3 linked regions of the Kluyveromyces lactis genome follow. The protein of the gene in region 3 interacts with the protein of the main gene of each other region in a pairwise test. Links are inferred from orthologs where the notes say so. Each region holds a gene or a part of one and is shown on either strand. Other genes may lie near its edges.

What was found.
Region 1: the proteins of SYF1 (region 3) and PRP45 interact in binary tests that used the Saccharomyces cerevisiae proteins (3 or more experiments, as listed by UniProt). The link is inferred for Kluyveromyces lactis from reciprocal best matches to the Saccharomyces cerevisiae genes SYF1 and PRP45.
Region 2: the proteins of SYF1 (region 3) and SYF2 interact in binary tests that used the Saccharomyces cerevisiae proteins (3 or more experiments, as listed by UniProt). The link is inferred for Kluyveromyces lactis from reciprocal best matches to the Saccharomyces cerevisiae genes SYF1 and SYF2.

The regions. Positions count from the first base shown.
Region 1 is NC_006042.1:215,830-226,954, reverse strand, and holds PRP45 (mRNA splicing protein PRP45), read left to right. Parts: upstream 1-913; coding exon 914-2,206; downstream 2,207-11,125. Other genes in the region: protein phosphatase regulator GIP4, read left to right, coding at 1-730; RNA-binding protein POP5, read right to left, coding at 2,282-2,926; ALA1 (alanine--tRNA ligase), read right to left, coding at 3,237-6,107; KRE5 (Kre5p), read left to right, coding at 6,864-10,607; TEA1 (Tea1p), read left to right, coding at 11,103-11,125. UniProt on the Saccharomyces cerevisiae protein: Involved in pre-mRNA splicing. Associated with the spliceosome throughout the splicing reactions, until after the second catalytic step.
Region 2 is NC_006041.1:408,529-418,980, reverse strand, and holds SYF2 (Syf2p), read left to right. Parts: upstream 1-5,038; coding exon 5,039-5,704; downstream 5,705-10,452. Other genes in the region: VSB1 (Vsb1p), read left to right, coding at 1-887; KLLA0_E04709g (uncharacterized protein), read left to right, coding at 1,130-1,630; KLLA0_E04687g (uncharacterized protein), read left to right, coding at 1,883-2,803; UTP8 (Utp8p), read right to left, coding at 2,855-4,798; KLLA0_E04621g (uncharacterized protein), read right to left, coding at 5,803-6,972; KLLA0_E04599g (uncharacterized protein), read left to right, coding at 7,422-7,799; KLLA0_E04577g (uncharacterized protein), read left to right, coding at 8,084-8,470; RSM18 (mitochondrial 37S ribosomal protein bS18m), read left to right, coding at 8,700-9,167; protein kinase PKP1, read right to left, coding at 9,301-10,452.
Region 3 is NC_006037.1:174,715-186,733, reverse strand, and holds SYF1 (mRNA splicing protein SYF1), read left to right. Parts: upstream 1-5,879; coding exon 5,880-8,276; downstream 8,277-12,019. Other genes in the region: ERD1 (Erd1p), read right to left, coding at 1-514; RML2 (mitochondrial 54S ribosomal protein uL2m), read left to right, coding at 1,909-3,114; KLLA0_A02013g (putative aminopeptidase), read right to left, coding at 3,287-4,408; VMA8 (H(+)-transporting V1 sector ATPase subunit D), read right to left, coding at 4,630-5,460; AFG1 (Afg1p), read right to left, coding at 8,396-9,919; MAK10 (Mak10p), read left to right, coding at 10,757-12,019. UniProt on the Saccharomyces cerevisiae protein: Involved in pre-mRNA splicing and cell cycle control.

The sequences.
Region 1 (11,125 bases), on a different chromosome or scaffold from region 3:
GCAATCAGTATCAAGTCTTGAAGATACTTCCACTGCTCGGAATGGTATGAGATCCAATTCTCTTCAATCAGGTTCTCTGAATACACAAAGAATTGTACAGAATGCATATTCAAAAGCATTACTCTCGTTAAATGAGAAAAGAGGCCCAAGACTAACACCAACAAAGCTGAATAATTCTATAAGATCAAAATCACCTTCTCCAACTGTGTCACGGCAGAATTCCGTAAAACAGAGGAACAAAGTGAACATATTGAAGCTAAATGAAGTAGACGAAGATGACATCAATGAGAAATTCCACGATCTGAAGCTGGACGATGATACTCTAATCGTCTCTCAGGAAGTGTTATCTCCAGAAGGTAGTGAAACTCCTAAGATCATAGTTTCTGTTGCCGATGACAATCAGTCGTCTTCAAACAACGACAGCGAAGTTGAAGGTATTGTGAAAAAGGTGAGATTTATAGGGGTTCCGCCTATGTCACAAGATGAAAACCCTGAGCCTAAAAGACGCGGATGGTACAAGAAGCCTGCCGTGTTGCATTATCCACCTCCACCTGCACAGCACTCACTTCAAAAATTCAGAACAACTCAAGAGGGTCTTGCATTTCGCACAAGTTTGATCTCCAGAGACCAAGGTTCTGATAAAAAGTTCGGTTTTGACAGCATGTACTCATCAGGTCAAGGGGCGGATACTAAAATAGTGGGTAAAATCAAGGATAAACTGTTTAAATAGAAAGAATCTTTTAATTTCTATTTGCAGTGAACTTATTTCCATTATAATATCAACTTTTAACAATGTATTTGAAATTTAGAGAAAATATTTAACTATTGAACATTCCCATAATTTATAAAGTAAAGTAGGTAAGGCTTGAAACATAGGAACAAACCTGTTATAACACCACTAGAACGGTCTGACATGTCATTCAGGACACTCAGCTCATTGCTACCGAGTCCGCAAAACTCAGAAGTCTCCGAGTCTTCAGCATTTTCTAGACAATCTAAGGAAAACATAAAGGATACAATAATATTAGACAAGCTACGACCGGAGAATCTACCAGTGGCCTCAATATCTGACTTTGTACCTCTTAGACAACGTGATATATCACTAGAGGCACCGTTCCCATCGACATCACAGATTAATCAAACATATGTAAAGACTAAGGCGTTTCTAGACTCGCTGCTAACGAAAAAGAGCTCTCTACAATTATCGTCTATTGCGAACAAGGACATCGTAAAAAGAGAAGCAATAAGCTCTGTAAAATCTGGTACTCAACGTTCAGTTAAAGTAATAGAACATAAGAAGGATCCTTTACAACCGGTAACACACAGGAAAAGGAAGGTCGTTGTACCATCGGAAGAAATTCAGGCGCCTATACTTCATAAGTCGGATGACCCTAGTATTAAACCTACAAAGGAAGAGCTTGATAAATGGAGAATTCCATCCGCCATTTCGAACTGGAAGAATCCTAACGGATTTGCTATTTCTTTGGATAATAGAGTTGCTATTGAATCAATAAAGACGGACTGCCCAGATAATGATAAGAAGGACAATTTCCTTCTGCTATCTGAGGCACTAGACGAAGCAGAAAGAGAAGCAAGACAGAGAATCAACATTAAGCAAGAGGCGTACAAGGAGTTAGAGAAGGAAGAAACTTTAAAAAAAGAACAAAGGTTACGTCACTTAGCTGAACGTGCTAGACAGGATAGGGAAAATAGGCGACAGTACGAAAATGAAGATCATTATGTTAGGGAAATGGAGCGTAATCAACGTAGGAGAGCAGAACGCGAATTGGAACGGTCGAATAAAATGAGCACAGCAGAAAAGTTAAGACGATTGGCGTACCAACAAGGAAGAGATGTTTCTGATAAAGTTGTTTTAAATGCTGCAAAAGCCACCGAGACCCCAGATCTTCAGTACGATTCCCGCTTGTTCAAGAAAGCGGCATCATCTGTGGCATCATCTTCAAATCAAATTTTCGACCATCCATTGTTCAATAATAGCCAGATTGACAACATTTACAGGCCAACTACTGGTTCTAACTTAGAAAACGAAGATATTGTTGATCGACTCTCAAATAAGAAAGGAAGAACTGGACCGGTAGAGTTCTCCGCTGCTGATGATGGCAAAAATGCGGAACAGAATGAGGAAGATAACGAGCATGCCAGAGAATACGGTCTTCAAGTGCGTAAGAAGCCTCATACTTCTTAATTGTGCGATACCGATATACTGATATAATTGTATGTAATAATATTCAAGCACTACTAATTGAATGAAATCAGCGAATCAGTCATTATTTTCATCGTCAGTGATTGAAGAAAACTCATCATTCCTATCATCTGTCAGAAGTATTCGGTTCAAACGGTGACTTCTTCTGATAGCAAATAACTCAACTTTTTTAATAGTTCCGCTAACTTTTATTGGATTCATTATGATGGGCCCAACAGATTCAATCTGGTTCATCAAAGCAAGTGCCATTATTACGTACTGATGGTCATCATGGCCACATCGTATTATACCGGTTGATGTTCTATTCGAAAAGTATTTGATCTGTAACAAAGCCGTAGCCTTTCCCAAGCCATAGTCCCCGAAATTCACCTGTAATTGTTTTCGTAGTTCCTGCAAAATATTTCTCGGACTGATAGTATTTGGTGATACTTTGTGATGCGTGGTTAAAATGTCCTTCTTGGTTATATCTGGCACTGTTTCGTACTCATCATCTACATCTGGATATAGTACTTCGAAAAGAATGTATCTGCTCTTTAAACGAACCATTGGATTTCTTCTATTTTGCCTATTATGACAGCAAGTTTTATTAATAGTAGGATGAAACCCCCGAATAAACGTTGTTGCACAACCGTCCTTTATCAAAATCTTGATTCCTTCACAGTTGATCTCCATCATAACTCTAAATCTTGTAATGTGAAGCATCTCTCTTTTTTTTTTTTTTTTTTTTTTTTTTGGTTTGTCGCATTCAAGTCACAGAAGAAGAACGAGAATACGCCAAGCATGTCCAATATTTTATGCATTATTGCCGCATCACCAACCTTAACTAACAGATTGTGTAAATATCAGATAATTCATTCTCTATATAACAAAAGGCGTAGCATATCTTTCAAGTAATATCATATATAGTTGAGTTGAAAATCAGAGTTCTCATGCATATATTTACAAAACTTTGAGACTTGAGATTAACTTCAAGCCAATCGTAGCCAAAGAGTTTATATTAAAGCGGGTGAAATTAGATAGTCAGTCTCTCTTTTAGCAAGGCTTCAACTTCCGCAACAGCGGAGTCAATACCGTTTGGTTTGTCACCCATACCTTGGAAGACATTTCCCTTACCACCAGCTTTACCACCGATGCTAGAGGATACTGTTTTGGCTAAACTAGAACCATCAACACCTTGAGCAATTGCTGCGTCAGATATGTAGCATCCGTGAGCAACCTTTCCGTCTGGTTCATTACAAGTGAATAAGTAGATAGACTTGTCCTTCGAGTTTGTTTTAATGTGATTGATAGCTTCAGTGATGGCCTTAGCATTAGTTGGAATGTCAATATGCTTGACGTAGAAAGAAGACTCTTTGTTAGCATCAAAGTGATGTTTGACGTCGTCCAGAGTTTGTTTAATTTCCTTCTTAGCTCTAGATTTCAGTTCATCTTTAACTTCCTTTTCAATTTTGTTGAATTTATCCTTCAAGTCAGTTTTGGTGATAACGGAAATAGTTAGTTGGCCTAGTCTGACACCTAGCTCCTTTAGCTTTTGGGCCTTTAAAGGGGAGAAAGGCAGTTTTTCAACTGCAGTTAATTCGCCATCAAATTCAGTAGCAATTCTTTGTACTTCATAGGCTTCAGGTCCAGAAACCGCAACAATTCTTCTGATACCTTTGGCAATACCACTTTCTTCAACAATGACGAATTCTTTGATGTCACTAGTCTTAGCAACATGGGTACCACCACAGAATTCAATGGAGTACTTTTGCCATTCTTCACTAGTTGGGTTCTCTAGGACTTCTTCAACGGCCTTACCAATAGAAACAACACGAACTGGATCCGGGTAAGTTTCACCGAAGACAGCACGGACAGAAGAGATAGTCTTAGCCAAATCTAAGGCAACTTCCTTGTAATACACAGTTAAGTTGTCCCTGATCTTTTCATTGGAGAGTTTTTCAACCTCCACTAATTCCTCATAAGATAAGGCTCTCTTGTGCGAGAAATCGAATCTCAACTTTTCCGGTGCAACTAAGGAACCCTTTTGATCGACATCATTACCCAACACTTCTTTCAGAGCAAAGTTCAAGATATGTGTACCAGTGTGATTATTTCTTAGGGGATGACGACGTAGCTCTTCGTAAGAAGCAATTATACTGTCACCAATAGATAGTTTACCGTCACCAAGAGAACCGGTATGGAAAACATAACCGTTGTAGGCTTGAACATTGTCGACGTTGAATTCTGCTTCACCATCGATAACCAACTTACCTGTATCGAACTCTTGACCACCTTGTTCGGCATAAAAACAAGTTTTGTCTAGAATAACACCATATTGCTTACCAATTTCGGTCATAGAGTCAACGAATTTCTCACCATCATATATTCTCAAAATAGTGGCTTCAACGTTTTCGGTCCCATACTTAGATGAATCATCAGTCTTAGCGACATTATCACCGTTAAGTTGAGACAATTCATGAACGTTTAATCTGATCAAATCAGATGCACCCTTCTTACCACCTTTCTTAGAAGCCTCGTATGATTCCTGTTTAGCTTTCTCAAAACCGATTGTATCGATCTTTAAGCCCTGTTCTTCAGCCATCAATTCAGTCAAATCGACAGGGAAACCATAAGTATCGTATAGTCTCCAGACTTGTTTACCATCCAAAGTCTTGTCTGCTTTCTTCAAAGCATCTTCAGCATACTTTTCAAACAATTTTTCACCACGGTCTAAAGTTTTTGCGAAAGAAGCTTCTTCTTCGTCCAAAATTTCGAACAAATAAGATGGGTCTCTAGCGACTTCTGGGAACATATCCTTAACTTGTTCGATTAAAGTGACAGACAATTGTGAAAAAAAGTTTCCTATAGGGTAGTTCATGTACTTTCTAGCGTAACGTGCACCACGTCTCAAAATTCTTCTCAAAACGTAACCTCTACCTTCGTTGTTAGGAACACCACCATCAGCCAAGGCGAAAGTTAACGTACGAACATGATCAGCCAAGACTCTGTAAGCGGTGTCAATACCATCCGTATCCTCAGCACCAAATTTACCAGTGTATGATCTGACCCCAGTGATTTCTTGGATACGGTTGAACAAAGGTTCGAAAACGTCGGTGTCGTAATTAGATCTAACATCGTGCAAAACGGACACCAATCTTTCGAAACCCATACCAGTATCGACATGTTTAGCCGGTAGAGCTCTTAGAGAACGATCTTGTTCTCTGTTGAATTGAATAAAAACGTTATTCCAAATTTCCAACACATCTGGATCGTCTTGATTAACAAGATGAGCAGCGTTTCTACCACCAATTCTGTCATAATGAACTTCAGAACAAGGACCACATGGACCTTGTTCACCCATTTCCCAAAAGTTATCCTTGGCATTACCTGGCAAGATATGATCATCCTTGACGCCAACGGATTTCCACAAATCACGAGCTTCGAAGTCTGGTTCCAAACCCAATTTTTCGTCACCTTCGAAATAAGTGACGTACAATCTATCACCTGGAATACCGTAGACTTTGGTCAACAATTCCCAAGAGTATTCAATAGCTTCCTTCTTGAAATAGTCACCGAACGACCAGTTACCCAACATTTCAAAGAAAGTGTGGTGGTAGGAGTCTCTACCAACATCTTCCAAATCATTATGCTTACCACCGGCTCTGATACACTTTTGAGAGTTCGTAGCTCTCTTCAACTTGTAAAAATCACTGGATGGGTCAACTGTTCCCAAAAAGATTGGCTTATACTGATTCATACCAGCATTGGCAAACAATAAAGTTGGATCATCGAATGGAATCACGGGTGAAGATGGAACAAAAGTATGGCCCTTAGACTTGAAATAGTCCAAAAATGTGGAACGAACGTTGGCAGCCGTCCACTTAGACTTATCACCAATCGTCATCCTAGCTGTAAAACTGGAAAATAACCTGCAATTAACGCGAAACACCTTTCCTAAGGACGTCTTCGAAAGCAAATTCTAATCAAGAACGGGAAGATTTAATCAAACCGCTAAAAACGATGAGTAATGATTAAATTAACGACTTGAAACAACGGGAAAAAAGTTCAGAAATCCCCCTAGTTCTCTGAATATGCCGCCTAAGGTTTTCAATAACTTTCGAATACAACAAACGAAAGAGCAGTAGTAGCCTCTGAACCTGAGTCCAAGCCTTCTACTCATCCGTTTTTATGTATAAGTTAATTGTTCAAAAATTCCAGAATATCTTCAAATCACTTTTTGATATTTTTCTCAACGCTTTCCGTTTCACAGATAGATAGAGCCAATGAAGAAAGAAACTAGGAGTCACGTGAGAAATACACTCACGTGACTCTTCATTCGAAAGTGGCTGAAGCTACCTTGCCAGTGGATCTGATAGACATGCGTAAAATCCCATAGTACTAGCTTAGGGAGTAGCATTATAGTAATGGTGAGGTTTACAAATTCTATAACATGTGTAGGACTTTAACATGCTTCATATTTCCAGCTTAAAAGTTTTTTATTGGCAGAAGATCCCGCAAGATTTTTAAGGTTTATATTTGCCTTCTATTAAGATCAGAATTCGAGATGAAAGAGAGTATTTAGATCAGCACAATTTGACAGTTTGTGTTCCAACAAGATTGAGTGAACGAGTTTCCTGATCTAAAACGGTGCAAAACCACGATGGTCTTGTTTAGGTTACGAATTGTGTTTTTGCTGTTAACTGTCCTGCACATAACGCAAGCATTTAATGAAGGAATTGGTAAGAGATGGCTTTCAGCGTCCCTTGTTGATTACGATGCATTGTCTACCGACCAATGGATGCAGTTGTATAGAAAAATAACGTTAAGTGATGAAGAAGAGGATGAAGAAGATGAAGATGACGATGAAGGAATTGAGGAATCTATAAGTTCAGCTTCGGCTGAGAAAGTACAACAAGTCGAAGGCTTGTCCGGTGCCATTTCAAAATATGTACAGATTGCACCAATTGATGATGAATTCAAAGAAACTTGCTTTGTTTTGAATGGCAAAATATACTCTAAGAGCGATGACTCATTTTATTTCAAGACCTCTGAATTGGATGCTCAAGCTCTTGTTCCAGATTTCGATGTGTTAAAAGATAGAGAGATTGCAATCGGAACTAATGCTTCTGCTCCAATTGTGGTACTTTACGGTTGTGAAACAGATTTAGAGTTTGCTGATTTCAACAGAAATCTTTATAATGAGGCTAAGTTTGGTAAGATTAGAATGACTTGGAGACCGACCTGTATCATAGGTGATACACCAGAATATGCATTGAGTGCCACATTATCGGACAAAAACTGGGACCAAAAGGCAAATGTTCACCTTGTAATCGATGATTCTGATCTAAAAATTAAGGATCCAGTCAAATTGAAATACTTGGATCAAAAGGAACTAGAAGATTTGGATATGAAATTCACCGCGTTATTGTTGGAGAAATTCAATGAAGATCATGATTTCGATTCTTTCTTTGAATATTTCAAGTCGTTGTCCTACAATTTTCCTGCAGTGGCACCAGTCATTGCTTCTAAAGACAACATTGATACAACACCAGCAAAGAATATTGTTAAAGACTTCAATAAGAGAAAAATCTCTCATGAATTACTTGGCTTGTACATCAACGGCCAACAGTGGAGATTGTCAGAATTAGATGAAACTACTTTACCTGCTATCCTCGCTAAGGAATGGTCTAGGGTTAATGATTTAAAAGAAAAACTAAGTAAGTTCCCCGGTGCTGAGTTAGAGAACTTTTTGAAATATTTCACGGTTGGCTACTCATATACGGCTTACTTTGACAAAAATCGTTACGATTTCTATCGTACTCCAGGTTTCTCTGAAGCTGTAGTTTTCTTCAATAATTTCGAGAAGGATGAGCTATATAAGGACCTGCCTGAAGACAATATGGCGTTTTTGGAACCATCTGATTTCGAACCAATTCCTAGCATCAAGCAGAATTGGAATGAGCTCATCTTTTTTATTAACTTTGACGATATGACACAATTCAAAGATGACGGTGCTGTAGGATCATTGTTACAAGCAATCGATCAGATGGAAACTGGATATCCTATCAGGTTGGGCTTAATTCCATTTTCTTCCTCTGGATCGAACTCTGTTGTCGATATGATTTATAAATTGAAGTCGGAATCTGACAAGCCTCTGCAGTCGATAATAGATTACTTAAGAACTCTTATTGGACACTCTGAAAAAATTCAACCTCAGACAAAACACAAAGGCAGTGCGTATGATGAATACCTTGAGAGATTCAAAATAGCAGATACTTGCATAGCAATGAATGGTGTACTTTTACCATTCCAAGCTAAAGCATGGAAGATTCATACTTCAAGGATATTATCCGCCGATATCGAGTATTTGAAGTCAGAATTGCAGGCCTTGGGTGATTCATCTAACCTATCAGTAAGGCAACTTCTTCACCATAGGTCCTTGACATTGAAAAATCCGGTATACATACCTAACCGTATGCTGGATGAAACCTTCACCAGAGTTAACAACCGCGCTCTACATGTACTCGGTAGTCGCACGATAATCTTTTCTGATCCGAATCAAAAGACTTCACCCATTCATACTATCACTTTAGTCGATGATTTCAACTCTTATAGCGCTGTTCAGAAGATACGAGCCCTACTAAGGAACAATCACAAAAGTGTTAGTTTCAGACTAGTTCACGTTGGTGATTTGTCAAAGAGTTGGGATAATTTTAAAATGGAATTCAGCACAGGGAAGTTGTCAGGTAAAATAGCCTCTAAGACGACTGTTAATTTCATTGTTGATCCCTTTTTGAATGTTTTAAGCTCTTGGTTGCCGGATATTTCTATTAAAGCTCTTCGTAAACCATTTGCAGTAATCAATGGTAAATTTTTCAATACGGATGACGATTTGTATTCTGTTGAATTATGGCACAACATTTTGGTTCATCATTCTTCGCGCACCCTTGATGTATTGAAGACACTACATCACATCGGGGCGTTGGACGAAAACATAATGAACCCATCTGCTATCGAGGAACTTACTGCTGCTGTTATCAAATATGTACATCATGGTTACCTTGTATTGAATAACGGAATACCTTACACTACAGAATCCTCAATGCCTCGAGTGAGTCTTTCTGAGTTAGAAGAATACACTATCACTAGCCGCTCTGATCAATCTGTAATCAACGTCACTCTATTGCTAGATCCTGTTGAAGAAAGGACACAGCGGTTGTTATATTTGTCAAGTTTATTGAAAGACTTGCCATTTGTAAAAACAGAGGTTGCATTGGTACCGACAGCCAATCTAACATTGAACCCAGTGCATAGATTCTACAATGCTTCAACCGGGATATCAGATAATGGATTCTTATCAGAATTTGATTATCCTCATAACATCAACCCAGATGACAAATCAATAATTATTGAAGCCCATGTATTCGATGAAGGTGACGATGTGTCAATTGACATTATTGATGGTCTGGCCGGTGTATGCTTGCAGCTAATGGACAACGCAGGAAATGTTATCGATAAAGGTCTTTCGATGAAATCATTTGGATATGTCCAATTATCATTACCTAGCTTGCAAAAGGGATTGAAGTTGGAAAACTGTGATTCAAGTTACGAGATTACAGCATTGTCGACAATGGCAGAAGCAAATTATATTGAAGTAGAATCCTTTGATGTTGATAACTCATTGCCTACCCAAATTCATGTCAAAGTGAGAAAGACTACTGCGGAAATTATGAACGAAAAAGACGACAGAGTGAATGTAATGGTTGTCGTGCATGATGGACAAGAAAGTGTGGCCGTTAAAAGAATTGAAAGAGTCAAGAAAGAAATTGGCGACAAAGCAAAATTTTATATTTTAGCTCAGAGACCTAAGTTAATTGTCCGAGAAATGCCAGCTTCAGTTGACTATCATTTGTTAACGTATACTTGGCCATTATGGTTGAGACCACAGCGGTTCTCAGCAAAAGAGCTTGAGGCGAAATCTATTTTGCTGTTAGACACAATGGTTCCAAAAAACGTTGACTACTTAGTGGTACTTTCTTTAACTGATGATTCAAGTGACACTATTCCATGGAACGATATTGCTTCATTCTCTGATGCTGTGTTCTACTTGAAACCGGCAAAAACAAAAGAAGGTTCGTACTGGAACTTCGGATACTGGAAAAAGTATTTACAGAAATATGACCTACCATTCTACGATCTATCGTCATCATACATTATTAACATGAAAAAATGGAGAGAGATAGATGCTGGAACGAGTTTAAGATTACATTATCATCTCCTTTCTAAAAGTTTCATTTCATTAAACAACTTCAGAGCAGACCTTGTGAATAGTATCCAGCTCAAGGTGCCAATTGCACCTTTGGAAGAACATACTGATGAGCTATTTGAACAAGACGAATTATGACCTCCAAGTTCAACTCCATTTCGTACAATGCAAACTCTCTTGACAGGTTTATATTATTCGAATTATTTCATAATTGATAACATTCTCTGTGTAGATTTATGAAATAAGTTACCATAGATACCAATTCATCATAATTAAGATATCAAAGCCAGGACTTGATTGAGTAGTTTAGTCACTAAAAACGTATCATCATTCATTTACTATCCATTCACTATTTATATGAGTATACTATGCATTAACACCAGTGATTAATTCCCGAAAAAAATAAAACGAACGGTGAAAAATAACCAACATGAATAAAATGTATATGCTAAGTTATTCGACTCAGCGGTATAAAATAAGGTTTAGAAATTTAGTTACGTAGCTGGAAACGAACTGTTGGTAGGGTATACAAAGAAGATATCGCCTTTGCCACAAATTTACCTATACAATTTGCGCTTCACAATAGCCTTTTTTCTGGTTGTATCGTTTGATTTTATTAGTGAATGGATATTAATGGTAAACTTCGAGAAGCATAC
Region 2 (10,452 bases), on a different chromosome or scaffold from region 3:
ACTTGATTCTCGATTTCAAAAATATCAGAGCGAAGAGCATCGATTATAGTGCTGCAGAAGGTTTCAACAGAATTAAAAGATTCCTTGAAAAGGAGAGGATCCATTTAATCATCAGTTCCATAGACAAAGAAGACCAAATATACCTTGCATTTGATAAAGTTCGCTTATTTGAAAATGTTGAGCTATTTTCCGATTTGAATGGTGCCCTTGAATGGTGTGAAAACGAGTTCCTCATGAGATACAAGCGTATTAGAACTAAAACTAGAGCCAGAAAGCTAGCACAGTTGAAGAAATCCCAAAACAGAATGAGCAAACTTCCTGTAAACACACCGCGGAATCATCAGTTTGTTTCTGAAGTGAGGAATATCTATACGGAAGAGATGGAAATTCAAAAGCTAAGTAACGAGCTCAAAGAGCGTCAACAATTCTTACCTATTTTCTTAATGTCTATCAGGAAATTCAGAAATGCTATCCAATCTCCAAATGAATTGAAAAGAACAAATGAGCTTGATCTTTGGAAACGACTAATATCCTATTTCCAACAGAAAAAATTCCCACCAAACACTGAAATCAGACACAGAAACAACATGTTTATCGTTGTGGAGTCCGGTGTTCTAAACCTAACTCATCATCTCATTCAAGGCGAATTCTATGAAACAATGTCGCCAAAAACAGCATATGGCGTTATAAGCAACGTGAACAGCGATCCTCTGGCAGTATCAATTACAACTGACACCGAATGTGTTCTTAGATACATAGATGCTGAATCACTTGCCGACTTGAAATTAACCGACCCCGAATTGTTCACAGAGTTACTTATTCTCGTAATGGCGATTCACAGAGATCGCTTCCGTGAACTTCTTGGTTATTCCTTAATCAGCATGTGACACGTCCCCACAATGCAACCTAAAAAAGGACCTTCTTTCAGTCTTATTTATAGATTCATAGATACACCTAATCCTAATTTTCTTTGACCTTTACCTGAACCTATTTACGTCCCTTGCTGCACCTTGCATCCTACGTTATGCGTTATTTGCTGCTGGAAGATCAAATTGAACTAAGGCATTCTTTTAACAAATAAAAAAAAAACCTCTTTCTAGGACTTAATGCATACAAATAATGTACGCACATGGTTATTTCAAAAGAAAGAAGCATACCTACTATCACAAAGACAAAACATAGCCATCACAGCATGTCATCACTTGTACAAAAGCAGTCTTCTCCTCTGTCTAAAATATCTACCACTCAGGAAGTGGAAGATTACGTGAAAGATAACGTCCAAAAAGGTGAGACCGATAGTATCGATTCTTTAAAAGCAACTAATTTAGACTTGTCGAAAAAAGCCATTCCGGGGTTTAATCAGCCAATTGCAGAAGGTGCAGAGTTCCCAGAAGAATATGAAATCGAAACCAGAACTGGACTTGTTAAAGTTGCTACCTTACATCAGCTAAATAGATTGGATACCAGAGTAACAACGCATTCAAGCAAGAAGAGTACAAAGGAAAAAAATACTTCCTGTGGGTATGACAACGATAAGTTACAGAAATGTATCGAACGAAACCAAAAGGAAATCGATAGCTATCACAAGAAATCTGGATTCAAAAAATTCATTGGTAAGCTTTTCGGATAAGATGCAACCTGTATAATTCTAACAGTCGGACTCCGCTTTCATTTATGTCTTTTCTCTTTTTCGTATACACCTTATATAATGCCACTAATACACTAATCCGTCCCTTTAAAAATAAAACCATTTGATGAACGGCTTGGCTTATGAACTGAAGAAATATAAGTGTTGATCGAAGGGTGCACTGGGAGAGGTGCGTTAAGACCCAAATATAAACTCTGCGAATGGTAGCACCAGGACATCATTACTAGAGACACAATGTGTATTTTATTTGCGACTAGAGCTCATCCAGATTATAAGCTCATACTGCTATCGAATCGTGATGAATTCTTTGAACGGAAGACACACGCTACTTGCTGGAATCATGATGGTTTTATATTATCTCCATATGACATGGCTATAGAGAAGAAGGGTCAAGGCTATGGTACGTGGCTAGGGATTAATCGACGCGGAAGAATAGCTGTCATATTAAATTTGAAGATCGATTCACCACTGGATTCTGAATCTGTATTGGTGAATGGAGAACCAAGATCAAGAGGTATAGTTCCCTTGCAGTTTTTGCAACAAGAAGATAACGCACCTTTTGATAATTGGGACTCTTGGGAAAAATTCAATGGTCAGCATGGGAACTTGAGACGAACTGGCCCGTTCACGTTGTTTTATGGCGATGCGAAGTCGGACGAGTATAACGTAATCGACTACTTAAAGCATTCCACTAATCCGTTTGAAAAGATGGAGCATATGGTGATATCCAACGACATTTTCCACTGTGCTGTAGGTGAACACACAAGTAGATGGAATAAGACGGAATATGGGTACGTTTTACTTGATGCGTTGGCGAAAAATACTACGGGCATTGCCAAGGAAGAACTATTGCAGAAATGTTTTGAACTTTTATCAAACCATACGTTTAATGAGGGCGAAGATGTGGATTCTGTGACGACTTCCAGTATTTATGTACCGCCTTTAAGAATTACTAAAGGTGCAGACGCTATTGGAACTTCATTGCCAATAGGCGATTACTATGGAACTAGATCCCAGATTGTCATACTTGTCGACAAAGATAACAGAGTTACGTACGAGGAGCATGTGATTTATGAAAGTGATGAGGATTGTGAAACATACTCTTTCATGGATCCAAAAGAGGTAATTCAGTTCCAGTTCAATATGGAAAGCTGATGAAATCATTTTACGAAAAGTTCTAATGTTTATGATTATACTACACACTTATTAGCATTCTAAATAGTCCACTGTGTAAGCTGAAATAGGTTGTGTAGAAGACGAATTTGTTGATGAATTAGATTTATTGTTAACAACCGATGAATGCTTGGTGTAATGCTCTGCCAAATGCAAAAGTTCTATGTTTTGTGACACTACAGAAACCTGCGCATCGACAAAAGAGGAAAGTTTCTCTAAATATTCATCGTCTAACGCAAACAAACCGATGGAATCTATTATTAAACTCATAAGTTGGAAGATTTGTGGCTTATTAAGTTTCAAGTCCGAATCTGCCTTATTCGAGTTCAAAATCATATCCAAAAAGTTTGTGATATCCATCTTCTCAATTTTTCTTATACCTGCTTTGATTGATTCTTTCTTGTAATCTTGTAGCACTCTTAGCGTAATATCAAAACAGAGCTCTGCATTCGTTATATTGAAAAGCTCGGTTAACAAATCGTCAAGTGGAACATTCGGACAAGTAACAATAGCTTGTTTGAAAAGTCTTGGGTTATTTTTCAACTTGGTTAATAAGCCCTTAGCGTGAACCGGTGGGAATAAAGGGTGTGTTAGAAGGTATGTCAATGCTTTTGGATATTCATCCTTGAAATTTAGAAACAAGCAATCGATTATTTGAGTGAGTAAATCAGAATCATTTAAAAATCTGTCATTGTCTGTATAATATTCCTTGTCTAAGGAAAGCATCTTAAAAAATATAGAATCAAAGTTCTCTATTTTTTTACAGATATGGAGTTGTTTTATAATGCGTTCATAGTCTGGAGATGGCAATTCCACATCGTCGTCCTCATTGCTTTCTTCAAAGAGTTTCTGTAGTTTCTGCTTTTGTTTAACCATGAACCCTTTACCCATCGCATCTTTTAAGGTACCGGTACCAACATCAATGTTAATAACATCCAAGTAACTCGTAGGGTTAGCACCGTTTTTAGTTGTAACATCTAATGCTATAGTTTTTCTATTGTCTTCAGAGTTTTCTTGAACAACTGCAGTAGAGAGTAGTTGAATAGCTTTGATGTTCTGTAAATCCTTTTGGAATAGTATAGCATTGTATAACAAATCCACAAGATATATGGTATTATCAGCAGTCAACAATACACGGTTTGAAGAAACTGGTTTGATGGATACAACTGCATCCTTGGAAATGAAAGGTAGCTGAATGCTAGTTTGTAGTTGCAAATGTGGTAACTGATAGATTGATAATTCATTTGAGTTCTTTAAAACATATAATTTCCCGAACTCAAAACACAACTTTGCATTCTCTAAAGTGTAATTTTCTAGTATGATAGAATTTAGTTCAATACATGAGACGGACTCACTCCTAACTTGGAAAAGTTTGTAACAGATTTTCTCATCACTTAGTTGGCATAACACGAAAAAGAAATCGTTTCCCTGCCCATCTTGGAAGAATTGAACAAATCTGATATCATCATAAGATATATCAATAGTATTTGAAAGTTTCAATTCATAATCAAATGTTTGAATCAGTCCATTCCTTAAGATAACGAGAACTTTCTCTGCTTTAGAATAGATCTTAATGCTAACGACTTCAGATTTTAGTTTATATTTGAACTGAGATGTGATTTCAGCATTTGAAGATGACACGGCATCTTGAATCATCGGCTTAGTAGCCAAGTGTAAATGTGATACCTTTCTAGCTTCCAATCCGTAACACCAGACTTCTGTATTGGCTGCATCTTCTACCACGTCACATGCAGTAACAATGTTCGTAGAGGGGATTGGCAAGTTAAAAACCAGCTTCGGGGTTGGATTAATCAAGTATTGTGATATACTGGAACCTGATATACCAATATTCACTTTATTGGCTGATGGTGAAAGATTATCAACAACTTGTAAGTAGTCTGTTTGATTCGCATAATTATTCAATGATGGAATCTTAGGTAGAGCAGAGAGCCTAAAAGGCTGTGAGATGGATGCCATTTTCTCAATATCTTTCGATAAATAATATCAAAGCAAACTGTATTGAACACAGGATATTTGATACTTCACCTCGTCCTTTCAAGAGCAGCGGTTGAGTGTATCTTTGCACTTACAGCTCATCGCATCTCATCGCATCTCATCTCTTCTTCTGAGTACTTCAAATTTTTCAAACTTTACTTTTGGGAGTCAGTCCGGGTAATATATAGTGTCGAAATGCAAACAGAAACAAGATGAGATGCGATGAATATACTCAGATATCTTCCAGGTGACAGAAAGTGTAGCCCTTATTTGAATGCCACAAATCACATTGTAAACTGGACACAGGCTGATAATAAATATTCGAAGATGAATGATCTAATGGAAATTGAAAAAAAGTTGAAGAGTTTGCGGAAACAAAAAGTGGAAGTAAGTATAAGGAATAAGAAGGCCATAATAGCTGAAGAGAAGAAAAACTCTGAAAGAAGAGTATACAGTATGGCTGACGATGGCGAAGATAAAGCTAGAAGTAACAAAAGCGAACCAGAAGATCCGATAAAATTGGCAAACTACTCAATACGCGAATATGAAAAATGGGAAGCTAAGACACAGAATTCAAGACATAATAAAAGCGTGATGGGGGACTTCCAAACTATAGCAAAGAACAGCTACAAGAAGGAAGTAGATGCGCTTCCGAAGGATATATCACATCCGTTGAAAGGTGGAATAACTGAGGATGGGAAGGTTCAAGTAGAAGATAATCCTGAACTAGTAGAAAAAATGGTGAATGATTTGAACGAACGATCAAAGAAAAGGTATATGGTACGGAAACAAAAACTAGATAAACAAAATAAGATCAATTTGGATGATGGATTTATTAATGACAAGAATAAACGGTTTAATGCAAAATTGAATAGCGAGTTCAAATAGGCATGGGAAAATAGGTATATTGGGCATTTACATATGAGATATTTACGATTGATTATGAATAATTATTTTATTTTAACGATATATAGAGGTGGATTTCTTCATTTGTCTTCAGAATCTAGTGAGTTAAGGACTTCTAGATCTTCTTCTAAGCTCTTGACACATTGCTTGTAATGGATCAATTGGAAATTATGGAACAACTTAACCAAAGAAATGATCTCAGAACTATCTGTAAGTTCTCCCAAGAATTCCACAGTTTCTGAGGTTGCAGACACGAACTGATCTTCTAATCGTTCGAAAAGCTTAGAATCAGGATCTTCTTCTGTCTTTGCCATATCAACTGGTTCCTCATTGGTTTTCTTTTCGGGGGTTTCAGGGGTTTCAGTTGCGACCTTTTTTTCAGCTTCCTCAGAGGATGCTACAACCTCTTTTTCCTGCAGCTTCAATTTAATTTCATGACGTAAAGTATCAAAGTTCAATCTTGCATCTTGAACCTTAGCGCGCAATTCGTGACCTTTCTTGAAATCAGTTTCAATAAGTTTAGATAGTTTGGCGTTGAACTCTTTAACCATCAAACTATCCATTTCAGCCTTGCTTTGATCAATTGATAGTTGACATTTGGTCCATGATTCGAATGCTTTGATCAAATTATCTACGTCTTCATCTTCGTCTTCATCTTCATCTGCTTCTGCTTCTAGTTCTGGTTCTGCCTTAGTTTCCTCAGCTGGTTTTTGATCAGCACCTTCTTGAGACTCTTCTTGGTTTGTTCTTGTTTCTTCTGCCTTCAATTGTTTCAGAATCAGAGCAGAATCAGTAGCAGCTTTTGACAAGGCCTGGGCAAATGATCTTGGCAATAACCCATTCTCTGCAGTTTCCTTCACTTCAGGGGAAACTTCCGCCTTTTTCTTACTGAAAGAGAAAATGGAATCCTTATTCCCACTCCACCAATCGTTAAATGACTCTGTTAAATTGGGTGGGTAATCATATCCTTCTACTTCAAAAGTTTTGGTTACCAATAACAATCTCTTACAAATCTTTTCTAAGGCATCACTTTTTTGTTCCAAAAACTTATACTGAATTGGTAGTTGACTGATATCATGCACTGTTCCCAAAGTTTCTTGTAGTTGGTGTCTACGCTTCAAAATGGACAAACGTGTTTCAGGATCATCCAAGTGGATCTTTTCAATGGCAGAGGAAAATTGTTCCTGAGTACGCTGTGCGGCATTACTGATTGAATCAGTTATGTTATTCAATGATAGTTTACTAAACATAATTCGTTAACTTAATTAAGGCACTTCTGAATATTAACAAACTGTATTAAATTTTGATTCTGAATTGTAACTTCTTTTTTTATTAAGATTATAGGCAATACCAATCTTCCTTTAAACCTCGATAAGTTTATTATTTGCCTGGCTCACGTCCACCAGATAGATGCGGTTCTGCGTGTACTTATCTTTGTCTGTGCCTTGATTTTAGTTCTCTATTTTTTTAATTAATTTCATCAAAATCAAATCGCGCCTCATTAATATTACATTAATGAGACGCGGAAGTATAATATGAGTATAAATAACTATAAATATAATCATTATTAGAATTGATACAATTAATAGAATTATTAACCCCCCCTCGCCATTCCTAGATCTAAAGAGACACAACTTGCTATTTGTAGAAAGAAAGCAGCTGCGCTGTTTGATAGATTTAAAGTTAGAGGTTGTCGATAATGATTAATAAGGATAAAATTGTTGATGGAGTTGTTTTTAAAGACGAAGATGATCCTGAAGAAACAGTTGTTTTTAATTTCCATACTTGGGTAGAAATGCTTAAAGCAATTATCGTTAAGTATGCAAATAAAAAAGAAGATGAGGCTGAATTAATGGTTTTATCGTCTTCATTAGTATGTAAGCCCATTGATAGTTATCTGGCAGTATGTCTTCGTAGCCATGAACTTGAGTATCATTGGGCAATGCTGATAGCTTACGGTGAACAGTTTTGGTTGAAAGGAGTAAGCTCTAAACAACCAGATGATTATTTAATATTGGACGAGAGTTATAGAAAAGACCACAATCTAGCTGAAGAAAGTTTTGTATTTAACGATTAATGGATTGAAAGCTGGAAAAGTAGTAATATTTTCCAGCTTTTTAATTTGTTGTTACGTTTATATGTTAACCTACTTAACCTGAATAACCACCAGAGCGGATAGAACACTGACTGATAATAGATGAATTGATGTTACATTGGAAATCACACCAATATTGATAAAATCCTCGAATTAGTTCAGAATCGCAGTTATTTACTGATTCATTATTCCCATCAGATCCAGCCAAGAATCAAGACCCTGCCGAAAAGCTGGGGTAAACGTTTGATTGTGGCCCACGGCTGGCTATGGGCGATTTCTACGTGCGGCAGCAGCGCGCCAGCGCGCCGCTGATCAAAGATCCATTACTGCTGCAGGTTACCGACAATGAAAGCCAGCTAGCCTCGATGCTGGCACACGAAATCTCACACGTGACCAAGCGCAACGCACCGCTGACCTGGGTAGGCACTCGGCTCCATTTTGCTGGCTATAACCAACCTGACTGCCGGCATAGCAGCGCTCAGCGGTACCGTCGCCGGTACCCAGCAAACGGATCATCAGTTTTGGCCAGGTCAAAGAATAGGAGGCCGATTGCATCGGCCTGTAGGTGCTGGAGCGCGCCGGGTTTGATCCACAGGGATGCCCGACTTCCTGCAAGAGCTTTCCGATCAATCGCGCTACACCTCCAAGGTTGATCTGCGTAAACTGGGTTGACAACAGGAAAAAGGTTGAATGCCTGGCAATGACTTAAGTATCCTTTATTTCAATCTCTTTTTTTTTGAAATTTAGAGATCTTTTCAACATGGAAAATTTTATTCAATAACATGAATATTAAGCAAGCAAGAGAAGGAAAACAACCAAGTCGCTCGGGCCTTTCTACGCCTGTTAACGAGAGATTGAATAAATTAAAACACATCAGAAGAAATGTTTTCCCGCAGCTGCGCAAGATTCTTTTCTACCACAAGATATGTCTGCAACAGTCTTGACCAAAAACTTCTGAAAGAAGGTATGTCGGAAGCTAATAGCAAGCCCACAATCAAGAAGCTAGAATCCAAGTTAATCAAAAACTTTCAGCCGGGCTCCGTTTACAATCCATTTGATTTCTCCTTAGAAAGAATACATTTAGATAAGAAGTTTGGGGTACGTCCTGGATCGTTTGACCCATTCAACAAATTGAAGATCAATCCACTTGATTTATACACCAACCCAGAGTTCTTGTCAAGATTTGTGACATCAACGGGTAAAATATTACACAGAGATGTAACTGGTTTATCGGCTAAGAACCAGCGTCGTCTAACAAAGGCTATTAAGAGATGCCAAGCAATAGGTTTGATGTCTAAGGTTCACAAAGACATATCGGTGCTTCCTCAAAGAACTGCAAACAGAAGCTAATCATGACATGTGATAACTTCTTGTATATATGAATATATGTTTCTCAATAAATAGGATTATATCTGTAAATAGCGCTAACAGTATAAACACGTTGCAATGGAAAGCTCCGGGACTGAATGATAGTACAGTGTTCTCATTTGTCGAATAGTCTATCCGATGGACCGTGCAATCGTATATAAACATCAGTACCCCATCCCCACAATGACTGAATGTCAAGTGTACCATTGAACAACTCTAGGTACGCTTTGCACATTGGAAGTCCGAATCCCATACCTGCAACGTTTTGGACTTCTTGACCAGGTAAAACATAATCGCTCATACCGCTGTCCTTCTCTTCCTTCACCGTTGTGGAAAAAGAATAATCAAAGACTCGGTCTTCTACCTGTGGATCTATACCGCCTCCGAAGTCTCTGATTCTGATCTCAAGTTGATCGTCGTTTTTCACTATTGTTACTTCCACATCTTTGTCAACGTTGTTTTCAATATGTGCTCTCGAGCTGTTCTTAAGCAATTCTTGAAGGACGTATTCTAGATCCGTAGGTATATATGAAAATTTCACATCAGACCCTTCCATAATTTTCACTGGAACGGTCTTATCGTATTTGATAAATGTCAAATCGTTAACAAATTCGTTCGTTCTTGTAACTAAGTCAGATATATGCAAATCTTTATGGATGACGCCAATGACCTCATCGGAAGAAGTCTGTTCCAAGAGCTTCAAATAGTTGGTAGTCAACAACTTCATCAATATTCTGTCATGTAAATGCTTATTCAAAAACTTGAATATGTTTTCTGGATCATAAAAACGGCTCACTTCCTGCAACCCATTTGATAACGTAAGTAACGTATCCTGGTGATCATTCAAGAATTCCTCTGTAAGATTTTGAATTTTATCTGTGTCATACAGATCGTATGGATACTCAATGCTTAGAAGTGATTCTAAAGTTTTTAAATAAAGCCGATTAGATTGTTCAATATTTGGGTTCACTAAAGCGATATAAGGTAATTCTTGTAGAGATGCCAATCTATGGCATGTCAACGTCAATAACAGGTTCAACGTCTTAATCGTGAGGAAATACTTCTCATTATCCTGAAGCGGGCCACGATATTGCAGAAGAAATGCCCAATCGATCTTTGGAATCTCATACGAAGAATAATCTTGGATCAAATGCTGGATATTTGATCGAATATGATAGAGTTCTTGGAAATTCAACTCGGTCATTTCTTTGCTCCGTTTTCGATGATTATTCCTACGATGAAGGCGGTTATGGGAAGATACAGTCTT
Region 3 (12,019 bases):
CATAAATAGCTAAATCCACCAATGGCTTAGAGTACGAGGTCAAAGTATCACTAATTATAATATAGTTATTCCTATACGGCTTTGGTTCAATGTCAGCTACCCAAAGTATTCTTTTAAAGCACCTTGCGACCATTGCTGATGACCTTAATATCATTGCAAATATGTAAAACAACTCCAGTAGTGGTGAAACATTCAAAAAAAACCAAAGCAATTTGTTGGATACGTTATTAGTGAAGGAGTATTGGAATAAGATTATACATACCAATTGCCACGGTATAATGACTCTAGAGATTGACTTGAACAGTTTCAGGCTTGATTGGTGTATTTTCGTGGATGTGTTAAAGTAAGGTAGTCCCGTGGACTCATTGGATACAATTACTTTGGACACGTCGTAGTAGGATACTGATACCTTCAGGAACCATGTCCATAGCCATAACCCTAATAACACAAGGACAACAACTCTCTGTGGGATCGGTAGGTAAACCAGAAAGGGTTCAACAGATTCGGCGTCCATGAATGCACGTATAAATAAGGAATCAAAAAAATGTAACAAAAAAAGGAGGAATAGAAGCAGAAGAAATCCCTTTCAGAAAGGCCCTGTGTGTATCGCTAACGGTTTAGATTTGTGGTTCACTGTCTCAGAGCTCTGTATAATCTAGGATCCTACGTTTTTAGTCCTAAGATAACACTTTTATTTCTATTGACATCTTTTCAAGACGTGTTTACAATTCAGATACCGGCACCAAAAATAAAAAAACACACACTACCGAAAAGCACAAGTTACAAGTACAAGAATGGAACAGCTAATGCTATATATAAACGTATTCAGGACTGTTAGAGATAACAAAAAGCGTGTTTCTAATCCTTTAAAATTTTGAATTTTATTCATGATTAGCATGGAAACTTTTAGTTCATCATTAATAGGTCTATATATTTAAGATAGAGAATGCCGAGTAATCCACTGACACATCTAACGTACACTTCGACTACCCGAATATATCCGGAAATGAAGAAAGTCAAACAAACAAGAAGATATAACTTGTACTGTATTGCCTGGACAGTTTATTTTAATAAAGTAATCGATTGATCAGAATTTTCAGTGTTTGGCTAATGCTAGTCGAATCGTTCATATTTTCGAAATCCGTTTGGGGCGACAGCGGTCATCATAATCGATATACTCAAAAAAAAAACAATCCAAATGATGGTATTTCCATACAGACAGTCATTATCTTCGTCGTTCCTTTTACTTGTTCATTTCCCGACATGAAGAGGAATTTGATTTCCGTTTGAGTTCAGTAAAAAAGACAGAATACGTTGCGAACAGGAACTCCTGTTCCTGATACACTACAAATCGAATCCTTGTTGGTTATGTCTCTAACTCTAATTAAAAGCTTTGTAACGGATAATAAAGTATTCGTGATGAGATAGAAACTTACCTCAAAATTTTTCACTTTTCCAGTTATTTAAACTAAAAACCATAAAACAGAAAGAATAGTCAATCTAACCATGAGAGACTGGTCTGCCATTAGGGCACAAAATAAGTACACAAAGATTTCCTGAATCACGTGACCAAATATTATATAATCCGGGTAAATTCAGAATACGTTCATAGTGATACTTCTTGCAAAAAATTCCATTTGACGATATTCCTCTGATGGTATTGAAGCTGTTTGAAATTAGAGATCGCTTGAAAGATTTTGATATTAACAAAAATGAACAATGTAATTGCAATGACTTAAACATTTTAAACTATGGATATTGATATATATAAGGGTGGATATATCTATAACAAATCTTATTAAGATCAGAGTTATTTTATTATTTCTGTGAAGGGCAGTAGCAAAGCGGAGATATTGGTATTAGACGGTTTACCCTAAGAATCTCGTTAGGTGCTCTGGATATAATATCATGTTCAAGCAATTCAACTTGAGATGCCTGACGCCGCTTGCCAGCGGCGTCTCCTCAAGAGTTCAAGTTCCGTGGAATGTTTCGATGATAATGTCTTTGAACAATACTTCACTTGGTGGAATCAGATCTATGGCCAGCATCACTCCAACCGGGAATGAAGAACAATCTTCAGTTGACGATGTCAATGTCCATATGTTGAAAATCGTTCCTAATAACACAGATGTGGTAGCACTAGAGAAGCAAGACGAATTGTTAAGAAGAAGAAGAAAGTTGGCTAAGGAAGTTACACAAATGAAGAAATTGAAACCGGTTTCTCCAGGTTTGAGATGGTACCGTGCGCCAATTTATCCATATTTGCATAAGGGAAGACCTGTTAAATCTTTGACTCTTGCCAAGAGAGGAAATGGTGGTAGAAACCATAGTGGTAAGATCACGGTGAGACATCGTGGTGGTGGTCATAAAAGAAGATTGAGAACAGTCGATTTCAGTCGTTTCGAATCTGGTATGCAAACTGTGGAAAGAATCGAATACGATCCTGGTAGAAGTGCACATATTGCATTGATAAAACATAACGATACTGGTGCCCTAAGCTACATTTTAGCATGTGATGGGCTAAGAGCTGGGGATACCATCGAATCATACAGAAAAGGTATTCCACCATCATTTTTGAAAGAAATGGGTGGGAAGATCGATCCTGCCATCTTATCTGTTAGAACAGCTCAAAGAGGTAACTGTCTACCAATCTCTATGATCCCAATCGGATCCATCGTTCATAATATTGGTATCACTCCTACAGGTCCAGGTAAGTTCTGTCGTGCTGCTGGTTCTTACGCACGTATCTTATCCAAGATCCCAGAAAAGAATAAAGCTGTTGTCCGTCTACAAAGTGGTGAGCACCGTTACGTATCATTGGAAGCTGCAGCTACCATGGGTGTTGTCTCAAATATTGACCATCAAAACCGTTCTCTAGGTAAAGCTGGTAGATCTAGATGGTTGGGTATAAGACCAACTGTCAGAGGTGTGGCAATGAACAAATGTGACCATCCTCACGGTGGTGGTAGAGGTAAATCTAAGTCCAAAAAGTTGTCCATGTCTCCATGGGGTCAATTGGCCAAGGGTTACAAGACAAGAAGGGGTAAGCATCAAAACAAAATGAAGGTTAAAGATAGACCAAGAGGTAAGGCTGGTAGAAAGGCTAGACAATGATAAGCTTCCCCACAACTGATCCTATCTTAAATATCATCAGTTTTTGTAAACTTATTTCAATGACTTCCATCCTGTAAATATCGTAGAACTAGTTAATTTAAAGAAATAACATAACATCTGTTCAGTTACCAACTCTATTTTAAACAAAGTTTAGATTACTACATCCAGAGCATCATTTGGTCTCTTCTTCCAGCTTAAATTCCCAGTTCCCAAGTTCGAATAAGGAACCAACGACTAACCTTACATGCTGGGCCATGTGATCAAATGAAAGTCTGTCTAAAGTGTCCATCGTACTGTGAATGTATTTGTTAGATTTGTTGAACTCACTTTCAATGACAAAGGAAGCGGGGAATCCATTCTTCGTTGCACTTCCGTGATCACTACATGCATATCCACATTCCGTTTCCACGTAAGGAATATCCAAGAATCTTCTTATAATCAACTTAATAAATTCAGTTAGACCTGGCGTGGTATAATCAGTAATGACACCAACATGCTCATTTTCTGGATCTTCAACATATCCGGTCATATCTTGTTGCAACATTGCGACGACTTTTTTGTTCTCCTCTGCATACCTGGTGAAGACATCCAAAGAACCTAGTAAACCACCTTCTTCTGCACTATAGAAATGGAACTCAATGGTGTTATTGGGTCTGTAACCTGTTGTAGAGAGATGTTCAACGTATAATCTCAATGCCTCTAGATTGGTTACGGTACCAGATCCATCGTCATCAGCTCCTGGCGCAGCAAGTATCGATGGCAATAAAAGGTTCATAGAGTCCTGATGCGATCCCATTACGACAATGTTCTCGGGAGTTTGTGCTCCTTTAATCGATACGATGATGGAGAATTGCTTCCAACCTTTATGCTGAACATGTTCAATGACAACGTCATTGTTCAATGGACTAGTGATGTTAGATAATTTCTCGGAGAGCCAAACAGCAGATTCGTACCCCGTGTCAGATTTGTAATAGCGAGTGTAGAAACTTGTGAATTTTGCCAAATTATCATGCATTGAAACCTTATCAACTCCCTTGGACAACGAATTTACAATTTCGTCGCATTGAGTTTCCTTCGGATAACGGTACACTGGCACAACAGCCTTTTCATCTTTGGACTTAAGTAATTTGGGAAAATTGGTAATATCCATGAATTGCACTCCTTTCCTCTTGAGAGACCATTTCTCGGTCTCTCGTACCATAATAGTCTTACCTTCCTCGATCTCAAGAACATGTAAACTATCAAATGGCAAAGCTGCCACAGAAGCTGCCAACAAGAACCACCCAAACTTCATAACTAGCCAATCTGATATTTGCTACGGAGTTGAAGCAAAGTATACACCGGTAGATGCTTGTACTGTCCCTTTTAATACAGTATTTATCCACTTGTTTCTGAAGGGAAAAAGGGTTTTTTTGACATCTAAGTAGAACTAACGTTGTTTAGAAGTTTAGTGTACATATTATGGAAAATGATATTCATTGATATACAATAATGGAGAAAGGGAGAAACCAAAGATCAAAAGATGACATCTTCCTCTTGTTCGGTAATCAGAGCTTCTACTTGTGGGCCAGATTGTTCTTCTTGTTCTTGTGTGTCGGCAGCTTCTACGCCAGTTTTGGTCGCTTCTTGAGAATCTGGTTTACCTTCAGACTCAGCATTTGCTTCATCTAATTTCTTCTGCTTCATTTCAGCATCCAACTGAGCAGTTTGAATCTGTTTCTTTTCTTGCACTTTCTTCAATCTATAAAACTCTTCTCTATCCAATTCGTCTAGCTCGGAGTTGATATAAGCAATGGTGTTTTCCGTTCTTGGAATGATCACATGTTCAATGGCATTCACTCTACGGTTGGTAACTTTGATAACTTCGTCCAAGATAATGAAAGCCGTTTGTAACGAAGCCAATTCAACTAGTGTTTCAACAGCCCTTGAGTAAATTTCCTTAGCACGCTGAACTTGTTGACCACCACGACCTAGACCTGTCATTTTGAAGTCGTTGATGTTGGAGTCGATGAATGATTCAAATTGAGGCAAGTACACACCACTCACGTTTTCTTGCGTGGCCCTAACTTTGAATCTTGCATTGGCAACATTCTCTTGAACTTGGTACCCTATATTTTCACCTGTAGCATATGTGACCTCCGCCAAAGAGAACGCAGCTGTTTGCATCACTCTGCCCATCTTCTGCTTTGAATCATCTATTCTTTTAGTGATATCACGGAATCTCTTCGTTAATGCTTCAGACTTTCTCTTCAACAAAGAATAACCCTGATTAGCACCCTTTAACTTAGTCTTCATAAGACCCAAGGTCATACGAGTGGGGAAAACCTGTTCCCTATTACTAGACATTTTTCGATAAAATTCAAGATGCTAGGAGTGAAGTCGTTCCTTCCTTGCTGTAATATGTTATCAGTACGCTTAGTACCAAACTCACCTGATTGGTACAGTAGAAAAACAGTTCTTTTCAAAGAAAAAGCAAACGATTACAAGTAAATGTGTTCCAGGTTGGATACTTGTCAGTGCCAGCCTAATTGCAACGTTCTGCCCCAGCTGATATATGCCCCCCTTTTCTACCTTTCTTTCGTCAAATGATTGAATGTCTTATATTTCAGATATTTTGAAAATTGGTTAATTTCGAAATTTAGATATTATTTCATTTACGGTGATATGTCAAAACGTTTAATGAGATGAGTTACAATTAAAGCTCCATCTAAGGTAAAGTTAGTGCACTGTTTTTCCACCAGGTACTGCGAGAGACATATGTTTCGATGGAAATAGATAAATTTGTCAAGGAGGAAGATATTCCGTTTGAGTATGGTGTTGTTAGAGAAAGAGACAATGCTGTATCATGGTCGAGATATTTGGCAACTAAAAGATCAGCAGGCGATGAGTTGAATTTAGATTGGCTATACGAACGTTGTTTGAAGGAGATCAAGGACGACTGGCATCTATGGAAAGAGTTCTTGAAATGGAGGATAGAATTATTGAACGATTGTGATATTTTCAGGCACAAAGATGAATACAATAAGATATCGTTACTATTCGAACAGTGCTTAACATCATGTGGCAAAGTTGGGGATGCATGGATTATGTATATGGAATGGGTAATACAGTTTAAGGATTTGAAGAGGATTAGAGAACTGCTTGGAAAAGCGCTACGATCAATGTCGTGGGAGTACCATGAAGCAATATGGCGTGTTGTCATCGATTTCATTATCAATGAATTGTTAATAGACAACAAGAGGTATGAACTTTCTTTAGAGGATTCCATCTACTATTTTGTTCACGGAGAGCATTCGACGAATTTTGATACAGACCTCTGGTCTTCCTCAATCCTACAGAGATATTCACTTATTTGTGACGACATAGAGCCTTTATTGATCTACATTTTTAAGACTCATGATTGGAGCACGATCGTTCGAGTATTTGAAAAACATCTATCACCTAATTTAAAGCCATCTCAGACAAGTTTATTTGAACTTTACGTTAGTTACATCACTTCAATGATTCTTGTGGATAATTCAGCAGGGGTTGCTGCGGTAGTGGACCAATGTATCGAATTATTCCCTTTCAAGAAGGGTGAACTTAAGACATATTTGATATTTAACCTGATACGTCAAGGAAAAATAACGGAAGCTGAGCTGTACTTAGAGAAAGTTATAAGCGAAACTAAAGACATTATCGAATTTTCTGTATTATATGATTTTTGGATTCGTATGGAGGAGCTATTGACCCAAGAATTAATTCAAAAGATGAAAGACGATAATTCAGAAAAGCAACGGCTGTTCGCAAATATAAGACTACATGCCGACACTCTAACCTCATTAATAAAAAACCACACTATTAGATTAAACGACTTAGAATTGAGGCGAGAACCCAACAACATCAAATTGTGGCTAGAACGAGTGAAGCTTTTTGATACCATCTCTGATAAAGCTAAAGTTTATGCAGATGCTGTTCTTACCGTGGACTATAGACTTCAGACTACTCCAGGGCTATTAGGAGAATTATGGTGTCAATATTGCAGACTTTTTGAAGAGGATATTGAAAAATCCGAGGTCTTGCTGGACAAAGCCACTAACGTCCCTTTCAAATTTTTAGTAGATCTTGAAAATGTTTGGTTATATTGGTGTGAATACAGACTAAAAAGAAGCATTGACGATGCCATAAAAGTTTTGTCCGTTGTATTAGAAATACCAGATAATCATGAATTACTCCTACAAAAATTTGAGAAAGGAGAATCGCCAGCACAAGCAGCAATTTTCTCATCTAAACGCTTATGGGCAATGTACCTTGACTTATTGGAGGTCAAAGGAAACTATGGTACAGCTGTAAATGCGTATGAAACAGCAATACTCATCAAGGCAGCAACACCAGCCATGTTTATTAATTATGCGTTATTAAATGAATCTTCTGGCCATCAAGCAGAAGCTTTGGCTGTTTTCGAAAGGAGTGTTGAGATTTTTCCTCCAAGCGTATCGAAGTCTATTTGGGATATATATCTGGATGTGGCACTCAAAGCTGATATCACTAAAGAGCAAAAAAGAGATATTTTTGAATCTGCTATTAAGCTTGCAGCTTCAGGAGTGGCATGTGTTTCGTTCTTTGAAAAGTACAGCGACTTTGAGTTAAACCTTGGTTTCCACGAGAGAAGTGTCGAGATTTTGCACAAAGGAGCCAAGAATATTTCGGATCTTGAAAGTAAATGTACTTTATGGGAAGAATGCATCAATAGAAGTGAAAAACAATTGGACGTCAATCACACCAGAAAACTATATGAAGAATGTATAGAAACATTGCCCAATTCTAAAGCAATCAAGTTTCTACTTCCATTTGCTATCTTAGAAGAATCGCGTAATGAGGTTGCTCGTTGTAGAGCATTGTTAGACTACGGGAGCAAATTACTGAAGCCCGCACAGAATGAAGAACTTTGGGATTTCTGGAGGAATTTCGAAACTATGCACGGTACAAAAGACTCGTTCAAGAACATGCTAAAAGCACGTAGGTTCCTAGAGGACACAATGAAAGTAAATACAGAGGAAGTATCCAGACATGCAGATAGCATCGAATTTAGGGCGTCAACTGCGAAAATTAGTGGAAGCGGACCACCAAGCGCAGAAGATAAAGGATACTCAAATACGGCTGAAATTGATTTAGGTCTATAAAATGGATATATATTGATTAAAGTTGATAATGGCATATCGATCAATCTCTTATGTTTTGTTTTGGAAGATGTCGTATTGTCTTTCTTTGATGACGTGTAACATACAAAAACACTAGTATCTTACTGTTTTTCGACCCAATCAGTTGAACTCATGTGGGATAATCTACTTAGGGCTCTTGCAAATGCAAACCGTTCTTCATCTAATGCGAAAATCTGTGCTTTTTTGGCAATATCCTTAGAAAATCCGTGTTTACTGACCAATTCATCCTCTACTTCAGGTTCATCTTCATGTTTCATTTGATCTGCTGGTTTAAGCTCATAGTCGTTGACAATATCTTCTGGTTCCACGAATAGTGAGGTGAAGTCATCTGCACCAGTGGTAGCTAATTTACCACCGTTATCGTAAACTGCATCCAAGAATGTAATGAACCGTCTAACTTCGTCACGTACGTATATGGTTAAGTATGGCAAATCTGTGACAACAAAGGACTTGAATGAGTTAGCCAAAGTTAAATAGTCACCAGCAGCCAAAGGTTCTCCACATAATTGTTTAAAGGTGAATTGTGCTACTCTCCCAGGTGTACATTTAGGAACGAGTAATTGTCTACCCCAGATAGTCAATGGATAGTTATATACAATGTCATGGCCATTTTCTGACTTACTGGGACGATGCAGTTGGGCAAAATAACTATACCATTGCTGTACGTGTAATTTCCTCGCCAATTCACACTCTTTTGAAAAATAGGATAAATTATGACTTGGATAGTAATAAACAGATGAAATTGGTCTTGGAATCTTACGATAATCGGTAGGAGAATCCAACAATACCACTTCGGTTCTTTCCTTTATCAGTTCAATACATGGAACAAACGATTCTCTTTGAACACCATTGATGTAAAGATCATCTGGCTTTCTGTTACTCGTTGCAAAGAGTACAACACCGTACTCTTTGGAAAGCAATGTAGTAATTAACCTCCGTAAAATCATGGCATCTGCCACGTCCGTCACTTGAAACTCGTCGAAACAAAGCACTCTAGAAGTGTTTGCAATCTCTGCCGCTAGAAATGGGATTGGGTCGATATCTCTTCCCTTAGCTTCACCCAAAGCATCGAAATTTTGTTCGGATATAATGTCATGAGATCTTTTATGCACATACTGCATGAACTGATGGAAATGTATACGTTTCTTTGACAAAGCTGGAGGAACTGTCAAATAGAACAACTCCATCAACATCGTCTTTCCACATCCTACATCACCGTATAAATATATACCCTTAGGAACACCCTCCGTCGAATACTTCTCTTTCCTTGCAAATAATTTCCCAAGAAACCCTGTTTTCCAGCCGACTTGATCTAGCACGCTTGGTGGTTGTACTGGTTCCGGATTGTACGAAACCAAAGAGTCGTGCAAATGACCTAAGGATTTGATGATACTCCGCTGATACGGATCATCTCTTAATTTTCCGAGCTTTACCAACTCGTCATATTTCGACAACGGTGTTTCCGTAACATCCGCAGATTGAGAAACCCACCGCTGTGCCAATACTTGTTGGAAAAGTCCAAAGGTATACCCTGGTCTTTCAACAAGACCGCTGCCAACTCTACTGACAAGAACCTTCTTACAACCCTGTGAAAATATCAGCATCGCTTGTCCTTGTACATGACCTTTTCCCAATTGCAATAGATTGTATCTACCTTAATTAACGATAGAGTAACTAGTGTATTATTTATGGACAAATAGTAATTCGGAAGTGCAGCTCTAATACAAAACGTTTCCAATTGCTAAGAAGTGAATATCTAACATTCACCATGGCCTTTACTTAAATACTTGTTAGTGGGGCATCGGTTTGAAGTGATAGTTTCTCAATGTCCCCCACTCTGAGGCCGCTTTAATTTTTTTTCTCCGATTTCGGGTTCTTATTCTACAGTAGAAACATGCTGCTGATCTCTATCTATTAAAGGTCTTCCTCCCCACCCCTCCCTGTCGCTATCTGAATACCCTGAATTCGACTTGTAAAGCTATGACTGACAGCTTTGTTTGCTTTGGTTGGTGAAAACTAGAGATCATCAATTGTTCGAGAATGACTGTTAGCATGCATGTCGATATTTACCAATAGATACTCCGCTCTTGCGTACATAATAACGTAACGAACATACGTTTTTAAGAAACAGTGTGGGGTACCAGACTTGCAAGTGCCTCTAGCAACTGGGAATAGTTTGTACAATGCATGGCTCTCACAGTACCTTGACTTTTCTTAGGTCCGATACTTTTGTTTTATGTTGTGTAGAGTTTATTACCTCTTTTCTACTAAATGTTTAAATCCTAATTTAACTTGTGAGATAGCTTAAGGCTTCCACACGATATCATGAATTAGAGAGATTAGAACAGAATATACAGTTGCGGTAGCACTAGACATTGCAAGATTTTAGGGTTTGATATCTTGGGGCAACTAAATTTGTTTCCCAGCATTCCTGATTATTGATGGTGGTTGAGAATAACATTGCAGAGTTGGCGAATTTAACGCTAGATCATCGAATGGATCCTAAAAACGAAGCCCAGTTTATAGACATCACAGATCATTTAAAGGCCCTAGCAGCGAAGTTGGCACCAGAGACAGTGGTCAAAGAAGCTACGTTCAATCTGTTCGAAGGGACTTATGCATTGGAAGTATGCAACGTGAAATTAGATACAAGCCTTATTGAGTTATGCCCTGAAGAGTTGGAATTCGACTGCAATGTACCATACGGGGACTCAAATAATGGAGAAAGGCTTGATTATGTCACTGCGGTTTGTGATCGATTATGTCGCTCTTTGATGAATTGGCTTCATGATTACCAAACTCTACCCACTACGGTGCTAAGTTGTCGATACGTCGAATTTCTTATGGAATTATACACTTCGAACCCGGTTTCATCGTTACAATCGTTCCAAGGATTACGCACGCGCGACCCCTTGTATGATCAAGTCTTGTGCAGCTTTGTGATAGGTGTTTGTTCATTCATAAAGTTCACTTCCAAAGTTTTGAAAGATGGTGGTGTTTACGAGGAGGAAGACTTGAACTGTAACGTTATGAGTTTGGATATGCTCTCTGGCGTGGACACAAAAGAAGTAATAGATTTATTGAACTCTTCGTTGCAACTGTTAGTTCAGTCATACTCAGAATCTACGCATCTACAAAAACTTGTTGATTTAGTCAAACATTTGTTGCACTTACCCAATTATCATTATCCCTCATGTCAGTCTTCGGTTTCTTCAGACTTACTACCTTTGCAAAAATCACTAGATATTATTTCTTCATTGGTACAAGACGATTATACTACTAAGCAGCATTCATACCCTCCTGGTTGTTTTTCCAAGGGCATTCAAAAGAGGCGTGATAATAACTTCCCACCAAAGGATCTCTTTGAACCTAAGGGAGACGAATATGTCTCTTATACTGAATTCATGAGAGATATCATAGCGGCATTATCGGTAAAAGATTGCAATACAGCGTTCGAAATCAGACAATATGTTTGGTTTTTCAACCGAATTAGACAAAGGACAGTCATGGCTCGTGCGTTACTGCAATCATATTTAATTAGAGAAGACACCATCTTAGACAAGTTTCGGTTTAACACGTTCAAGGATATGCACCTTTACGAGTTCTCATTAGCAGGAACAGCATTGTACGATGTAATATCCAGCCGCGAGCAAACAACAGATCGCGATAATATGATAGAAGCCTTGAATGAACTCTCATATTGC